Linked DNA regions of Macaca mulatta. The protein of the gene in region 1 interacts with the protein of each later gene in a pairwise test. Links are inferred from orthologs where the notes say so. Each region holds a gene or a part of one and is shown on either strand. Other genes may lie near its edges.

Region 1 (4,214 bases):
GCAAAATCCTGTCTCTACTAAAAACACCAAAAACTAGCTGGGCATGGTGGCACATGCCTGTGATCCCAGCTACTCAGGAGGTTGAGGTGGGAGAATTGCTTGAGCCCAGGAGGCAAGGGTTGCAGTGAATCGAGATCACGCCACTGCACTCCAGCCTGGATGACAGAGCGAGACCCCATCTCAAAAAAACAAGATAAATAAATAAAATAAAGGAGAGTAGCATTCTTACCCTTTGATAGCCCATTCTTCTAACTGTGCTGGGTGGCATTCCTGAAGAGGATTCTCTAAGCAGTGTCCAGGTAACCCACTCTTCCCTGAAGTCCTCAGCCACATTATCAAGGGTCATCAGTTCCTAAAGCAAGAGACCTCGATATGCATCAGTAGCTCCCTAGGTATTCTCACCATTGTCTGAAAGCCAAAAAATGGCCATCAGTGTACACAAACAACCCCCCACACCTGATCAGAATGGTCCTGAGGTAAATTCTGTCAACCACAGAGGGTTGCTTTTCTTAGTCTGTTTTTACATACATCTTCTCCTGGCCAACTTTCCCATTACTAAGAGAGGCCTAGGCCTCCCAAACACATGGACAGAACCCAGTCTTTTAGATACATTAACTTTTTGAGGAAAAAATTGTCCACGATGAACAAGGTAAACAAAGGAGAGAGTTGGTAGGTACAATTTGATTTCTGGAAAGCTTTTGATTCTCCCCAACTTCATTTTCCTCAGCAACCAAGGAAATTGTGGACTTAACTATACTCATATTAGTTATGAGAACAGCTGACTTCTTGGCTTGCAGATTTGGGGTCAACCTCAAGGGACAGATTATGCAGAACCCCAAAGAGAACTGTGTTGGATACCACTCTATTTCAAGATCTTAATGGAGTCAGAAATAAGACTGAAAAAGACATGTTTTTTTTTTTTTAAAAAAAGACATGGATAGGTTGTAAAAATAAGTGAAAGTCAATGGGGATAAGCACAAAACACAACTCTTAGAGGCTGAAACCAATCATTAATATATTAATAAATTGACAGCAATATCATGAAAAACATTACTTTTTGGAGGATAGTCAGAGTCAACTACTGGATGGATCAGTAATTTATTCAACAATCAATATGTTGCCAGGCATAGGAGTCACAAAGAAATTAAGATAATGTTTTTTCCCTTAAAAACTTTCCAATACACCAGCCTCAGCAACATATTGAGACCCCTTTCTCTACAAAGAACTTTTAAAAATCAGCCAGGCATGGTGGCATGCACTTGTGGTCCCAGCTACTCAGGAGGCTGAGGTGGGAGGATCACTTCAGCCCAGGAGTTCAAGGCTGCAGTGAGCTATGATGGCGCCACTGCACTCCATGCACTCCAGCCTAGCAACAGAGTGAGCCCCTGTCTCTCCCTTAAAAAAAAAAAAAAAAAATTCAGCCAGCATGACCACCCACTACAAAGAATATTGCATTTCACGGGAGGAAGGACCAGACTAGGGTGAAGAAGTTTTACTCTTTCACATCTTTTGTCCCACTACAAAGCACCTATTTACTACTGGAACACAGATACAGACACAGACACACACACACACACACACACACACACACTTTTGGGGAAAATATTTATGTATTTACAGACATTATTATTGGTCATTTATAAAGTATTGAGTTTTTAAGGATCTAAAAACCATTGCTCTGGTTTAAAACTTTAACAAACAACAATAATGTAATTAGAAAGTAAAAATGGTAATAACAGTTTTCAGTATTGGTCGGGCGCTGTGGCTCATGACTGTAATCCCAGCACTTTGGGAGAACGAGATGGGCAGATCACCTGGGGTCAGGAGTTCGAGATCAACCTGGCCAACATGGTGAAACCCTGTCTCTACTAAGAATACAAAATTAGCCGGGTGTGGTGGCGCACACCTGTAATCCCAACTACTCGGGAGGCTGCGGCAGGAGAATCGCTTGAACCCGGGAGGCAGAGACTACAGTGAAGGGAGATAGCACCGTTGCATTCCAGCCTGGGCAACAAGAGCGAAATCCCCTCTAAAAAAAAAAAAAAAAAAAAGTAGAAGAAGAAAAAGGAAAAAAAAAAAAGAGCTTTTAGTATAATTTTTATTTCTACATTCATTACAAAACACAGCTGCAGGGCCCCCTTGCTGGAGACTTCTTAGCCACGGTTATAGAAACCCTGTTTCCCAGCCCGTCCCTTTCCCCATGCGCAGATGACCTCAAAGGCCCTACAGCTCTGAGGGGCTGTGACTAAGTGCCATTGTGAGAATCTCCAGTGCGTTCACCGGGTTTATTAATAGGAACATGACTGCACGCGTGGGGCTGAACCCCGTTCTTCTTCTCGGTGCTGGGGCCCTAACCAGGGTGCGGCGGTCAGAGGGTGGCAGATCAGCTGAAACCCGGGGACCACCATCGAGAAGCAAGAAAACTCATTAAGAGAATGACTTATCTCGACGACGGTATAGAGACCACAGCTACCTCTCCCACACCCCAGCAAGACCCGGGGGCTCCCAAAGGCCAGCGTGGGAACCCCTCTGAGAAAACGTCTGGGTGGCGGGCGAGCCCCCTCCACGCCTCTCAGCAGCGCGCCGCTGCCGCCGCAGTCTCCCTCCTTGGATCACTCACCGCCCCAGGGCCCAGCTGGGGATGGAGCAGGAAGTGAGTCCTCCACCGCCGAGCCGCACCCGGCCCGCAACCCCGAGGCGGTCCCTCCCAGAACCCGACCGGGATTCGTGACAGGGCTGTGGGGACACAGGTGGGACTCAGGCTTCGACAGCTCGCAGCCGGAAAGTACCGCCCCTGTCCTCTTGCTATTGGCTTTTTAGTTTCCATGGCTAGAATGTTTCTCTGTCCATAGGCTGACAGAGCTATCAATTACCGCCTAGCCTTCTGGGAAACGTAGTCCCGAGCAAGACCTCAAAGGACTCGGAGCCTTGGATATCCAGTTCCAAGCGTTGAAAAGTGCTAAACCCAATTCCCCAGCTACCGGCCCCCAGGAACCGCCTGTTTGGAGCCTAGGGATCTAAATGCCGTACCCTCAGTGTGGCATCTGCTGATGTGAATCTCCTGGCCTCACCCACCTACCGCGGAGCAGCCTGGTGCCCAACGTGAGGTCTCCCGCGCTCTGGCACCTCGCCCCTCCCCAGCGCAGAGCAGCTCAGCCCTCTGGCCTTTGCAGCCTCTCTTCTGCCCAGTCTTCCACCTCACACCCGGCGGCCGGAGCCTGCAGAGTGTTTGCGGAGGCCGGGTCCCAGACCAACTCAAACTGGACATAAGGAAGGCCCAGCAGACGCCCTTAGGAGAAAACAGACATTCCGTATCCTTCCCTTGGCATCAAACTCCCAGGCGCATCCCCTTTCCGTCTGGTTGATAGCCAGAGGAGGCGGGCGAGGGCATCAAGTATTCTGGGAAATGTGATATTGGGCTTCAAACTGGGGAGGCTCCTGGGTCTCATGTGAAAGCCAGTGGTCACTTTGGGTCGGCCCCTAGCTAAAAAATAATGTCTTTCCTTAAAGTGAAGAAAATGTGCCTGTCTACTCCGTTTGTTGATTCAGTGTAATTTAGAAAAAGAAAGACCATTTTGTGATGTACTATAAAACGCTTAGAATTGCTAGCCATAGAGTTAATGTTGAAGATCCCTTTGATGCTAATTCCACCATTCCTTCAACAAAAATAGGGTGCATTTTCCAGTGGATATTTATTGGGAACATTCTATACTCAAGATCGTTCTGGGAACTGTGGTTACTCGGGAATCATACATAACCATTACCTTCATGAAGTTTACAGGCCAAAAGGGGAGATAAACCATAAAAGGTATCAAAATCCTAAGTAGGCCGGGCGCGGTGGCTCAAGCCTGTAATCCCAGCACTTTGGGAGGCCGAGACGGGCGGATCACGAGGTCAGGAGTTCGAGATCATCCTGGCTAACACGGTGAAACCCCGTCTCTACAAAAAAATACAAAAAACTAGCCGGGCGAGGTGGCGGGCGCCTGTAGTCCCGGCTACTCGGGAGGCTGAGGCAGGAGAATGGCGTAAAAACCCGGGAGGCAGAGCTTGCAGTGAGCTGAGATCCGGCCACTGCACTCCAGCCTGGGCGACACAGTGAGACTCCGTCTCAAAAAAAAAAAAAAAAAATCCTAAGTAATATTTTGTCTTTTTTTTTTTCATATAGCCAGTTGCATCTTAGTTATTTTGCTACAATTGTAGTCATCTGCAAGATA
Region 2 (4,260 bases), about 94 Mb from region 1:
CACTGGATTGAGTCATTCACACTAGTATAAATGAGGCTCAGTCCCAAGTCTGTGATAACCGGAGGTCCCAGAGACCTTCTACAGCTGCCTCTTGTTTGTTGACCAACGAAGAGGAGGACCAGAGACTCACCCACGGCCACTCAGCCAGGCAGGACAGCACAGGACAGGAATGAAACCCAGGGCTCTCCTGGGGCAGCAGCTTCCTCCCAGAACTGGTTCATGGTGGAGCCCCAGGCTCGGTCTCTCAACAAAGGGTCTGCAGGCTGGTGACTGGAAGCCCGGGATCTGCCTTGCTTCCCCAGAGCTACCCCTCCAGAAAGCATTCTGGGGATAGAGGCTTGTCCAGGCCAGGAAGGTACAGGGCACACAGTGGGTACTCAAATCAACAGACAAGCCCCTGTGAAGGGCTGGCATCACTATCTTTATCACCACTATCATCCCGGCGGCTGAATCCCTACCTTGTGCCAGGGCCCTTCCTCAGTTATCTCTAATGTCCCCATGGAGACACTGGGGGGAGTGTGACTTCAGCCAGGGCACAGCCCAACCAGGACTCTGCTGGACTCAGCTTTCCGGGCCTCAGTGCCTGCTTTATGGAACGAGCCTGACCCTAGGATCCCTTTCACAGGCTTGCTGTATTTGATTTGAGGCTGGAGCTGGAGGGTTCAGAGTTGGCGCCCATCATGAGATACGATCCTGGGGGACTGGTGGGAGAAGGTGGGGTGTAGCAGGAGTTAGGCCTGGCGACCGGGGCCTCCGAGGCCAGGTATGGTCCAGCCCCTCCTGCTGAGGCTGATGCCACCTCTCGCTTCAAGCAGTCAAGCTGGGCTCCTGGGTGGGGCCACCCTGGCCAGGCCCCAGGGTGCAGCCTCGCCCCTTGAACATACTGTTGGGCCCCAGCAGGCCCTGAGGCCCCGAGAGATATGTGCAAGAAGCCCTGGGATGGAATCTTCCAGGGCCCAGGCGGCACCAGGACTCCCCTGGGGCTCAGCAGTCCCCAGAGGGCGGTCTGCATGGTAAGCGGAGCCAAGAGCAGCAGAGAAGCGGGGCTCCCAGCTCACCACCCCCTGGAGGAGCAGATGGGGACACAATGCTTATTAGGTGCCTGTGACCATGACTGACTTTTCACTGCTGGGGAAACTGAGGCACAATGAGGCTGGGTGACCTGTCCAGAGTCACACAGAAGGCCACTGACCCTCGAGATGCGCTTCCACCCAGAGCTGCCTGGCCCCAGCTGGCCATGCAGACCTACGGGGAAAGGGCTGGCAGGGCTTCAAATCACCAGAACTTCCCACCCACCGGCCTGTCCCTGGCCATCCCTGGACAGAGCAGTTGACCTGAGGGCCAGCAGCACACAGGTGGCAGAGGTGCAGAGGTGGAGGGCAAAGTGCCTGGGCCCAATCCGGCTCCTCCACCTCCCTCTTCCTCTGTGCACTGGGGACATAATGATGGCGCTGACCTCCTGGAGTTGCGCCCAAGCTGGGGGTCAGAAGCTGAGAACACTAGTCAACGCTCCGTGAGTATCAGTCATCGCACTCAGCCGGGGTTTGTCCCCAGAACAGAACCCCTCCCAGCAGAAAAGCCTTCCTGGGAGGCTACAGGTTGATATCCCACAAACCCAGCCCACCGCCTCTGCCTCCATCCCGTGTTGGGAGAAGGTGGAACTGGGGCACGAGCAACATCCAGGCAGCCCAGGGGTCCTCCCTGGCCCACGGGACACAGACGGTGCAGGGCATGGAAGGTCAGCACCAAGGTGGGGGTGCCAGTCCCTGAGTGAGGTCCCACCTGCCCAATGCTCTGCACAGCTCCGTCCCCAGGACAGCTAAGGAAATCTCACCACATCTTTTGTCTGTCTGTCTGAGGTCAGAGTGCATGTGTGGACGGGGTACGATGAAAGAGCTCTACAGCCCAAGCCAGGACTCCCTGTGTCACCTGGGGCAAGTGGCAGCCCCTCACAACCTCAGTTTCCAACTCCATGTAATGGGGGCAGCTATGAAAGCTCACCTCCCTGCCTGACAAGCCTGTGGGACAGCCTGCCTCATGTGGGGTTGTCTCAGGCTCAAAACTGTAAAAGGATAATCACAGGAAAGCCCGAGGTAAACCACCAAGGCTTTGCCACAGTGGGGAGAGGATTATGATAATTGTTATCATTACTGTTCACGCATGTGCATTCCATACAGAAATAGTCTGCCTGCCCCAAAGTCAGAAATTTCACCTTAGAGATTCATTCCTTTGGCAATTAAGGCCTTTCCTATTACAGATATTATAAAAGGGGTGTGGGGAGGGAACTTGGAGCAGGTCAGACAGGAACTGTGGGGAAACGGCACATGAGGAGGGAAGAGACCTCTGGGGTTGAGACTCACCCGACCTGGAGGCCTCCAAGGGGAGGCAGCTCGGCCTCCGCGCTTGCCACTGCCCAAGCAAGGCCCACTAGTTCCCACGGCCTGGCCTGGCCCCACTCTGCTTGCAGCCTCAGCGGCCGCCTCCGAAGAAGGCTGGGAGCTCAGGGCCGGGTCCTTCTCCCCTGGGGCTGCAGCTCCTGCAAGGGCCTCCTGGGCCAGGCCTTGGCCTCGATCCACTGCGGAGGGCTCTGGGCTGCGGCCTCTGGGTACCCTGAAGGCCTCCAGGGTCCCAGGGTCCAGAACCCGCACAGTGACCTCATCCAGGAACCTGGAGAAGGGCAGTCTGGCCTCCCGCCGGCGGCCCAGGCGTGCGAGGGAGCCTGTGACAGCCCGGCTGCCTGTGTTCAGGGACTCTGGGGAGGACGGCCGGACTGGCGACACCCGGGCCATCTCCTGGCTGGGCCGAGCTGCCCAGCTGGGGCAAGATGATTTGCCCTCAGGATTCCGACCTTGGCTGGGGCTTGGCATGTGGCTTCGAAGGTCCTGTCTGTGGGCTTCCTTGATGGCGGCTGCTGCCCTGGGCTCCAGGAGGGAGCTGTAGCTGCCCTGCTTGGGACAGGCAGGGTTAGAGCCCCGTACCTGGGAGCTGGCCCCTGAGAACATCCTCCTGAGTCAGTCCAAGGTCTGGGCTCCCCAAGAGCGCCGTGACCCACTCCTCTCCTCCCATGGGGCTGGGATCCCTGTGCCCTCTTAGGGGCTGTGCCTCCCGTCCTCACAGACCAGGGCAACCAGCCAGATGCCCGCCTGCCCATTGATCCAGTGGCAGGGCCTCACGGCCTCCCACCCCCAAATCGATTCTCACTAAATGGAAGCTGAGCTTCAGGGCTTAGAAAGTGCTAGAGAGGAGAAGGTCATGTCCTGGGCTCTGCCTGGGGAGGTAGCCCGCCCTGAGTGAGCTCCTGTGGTACACAGGACCCTGGACTGGGCCTCCCCCTCTCCTACTCTGACATCTCCTCTGCCAGGTGCAGTCCAGGGTGCAGGGGCACAGAGGACAGGCAGTGGACAGATGGCCACGATGGTCACCATGACAGCGTGAGCACTGGGCCTGAAGCAGGGCAAACTGGAACTGCAGCAAACCAGCAAATGGGAGGGGTCGGCAGAGGCCGCGGGCAGCCCACTGTCCTCCCGTGCATCCTTATTACAGAGCCTTCATTCTCTTTTGAGATACAGGGTAGTTAGCTAAAAGACCATCTTTCCTGGGCTCCTATGCAGCCAGGCCAGGAGGTCGCCAATGAACTATAAACAGAAGTTGGGTGTGACTGCTGGCAGAGCTCTGCGAAAAAGATCAGACAGACAACCTGTGTCCTTTTCCCATTCCCCATCCTCCTGCTGCTTCTCTAGAACATGGAAGTGATGGCTGGAGCTGTGGCAGACATTTTGCACCATGAGACAAACTTGTGGCAGAAGCCATGTATAAAAGATGGAGGAGCAGAAAGACAAAAGGAATCTGGATCTCCCATGACCACTGAATCATCACACCAGCCCTGCATCACCTGCCTCTGGTACTGTTTTTTTTTTTTTTTTGAGACGGAGTTTCATTCTTGTTGCTCAGGCTGGAGTACAATGGCTTGATCTCAGCTCACTGCAACTTCTGCCTCCCAGATTCAAGCAATTCTCCTGCCTCAGCCTCCAAAGTAGCTGAGACTACAGGTCCCTGCTACCACGCCTGGCTAATTTTTGTATTTTTAGTAGAGACAGAGTTTCACCATGTTGGTCAGGCTAGTCTCGAACTCCTGACCTCAGGTGATCCGCCTGCCTTGGCCTCCCGAAGTGCTGGGATTACAGGCATCAGCCACTGTGCCTGGCCTTCCTCTGGTAGTTCTTTAACTTGAAAGAAAAAGAACCCCTTGTCTTTAAGCTA

What was found.
Region 2: the proteins of ZNF774 (region 1) and BEGAIN interact in binary tests that used the Homo sapiens proteins (3 or more experiments, as listed by UniProt). The two-hybrid records come from large-scale screens. The link is inferred for Macaca mulatta from reciprocal best matches to the Homo sapiens genes ZNF774 and BEGAIN.

The regions. Positions count from the first base shown.
Region 1 is NC_133412.1:80,237,168-80,241,381, reverse strand, and holds the start of ZNF774 (zinc finger protein 774), read right to left. Parts: upstream 2,801-4,214; 5' UTR 2,621-2,800; intron 353-2,620; 5' UTR 334-352; coding exon 230-333; intron 1-229.
Region 2 is NC_133412.1:173,917,146-173,921,405, forward strand, and holds the start of BEGAIN (brain-enriched guanylate kinase-associated protein), read right to left. Parts: upstream 2,801-4,260; 5' UTR 2,790-2,800; coding exon 2,361-2,789; intron 1-2,360. UniProt on the Homo sapiens protein: May sustain the structure of the postsynaptic density (PSD).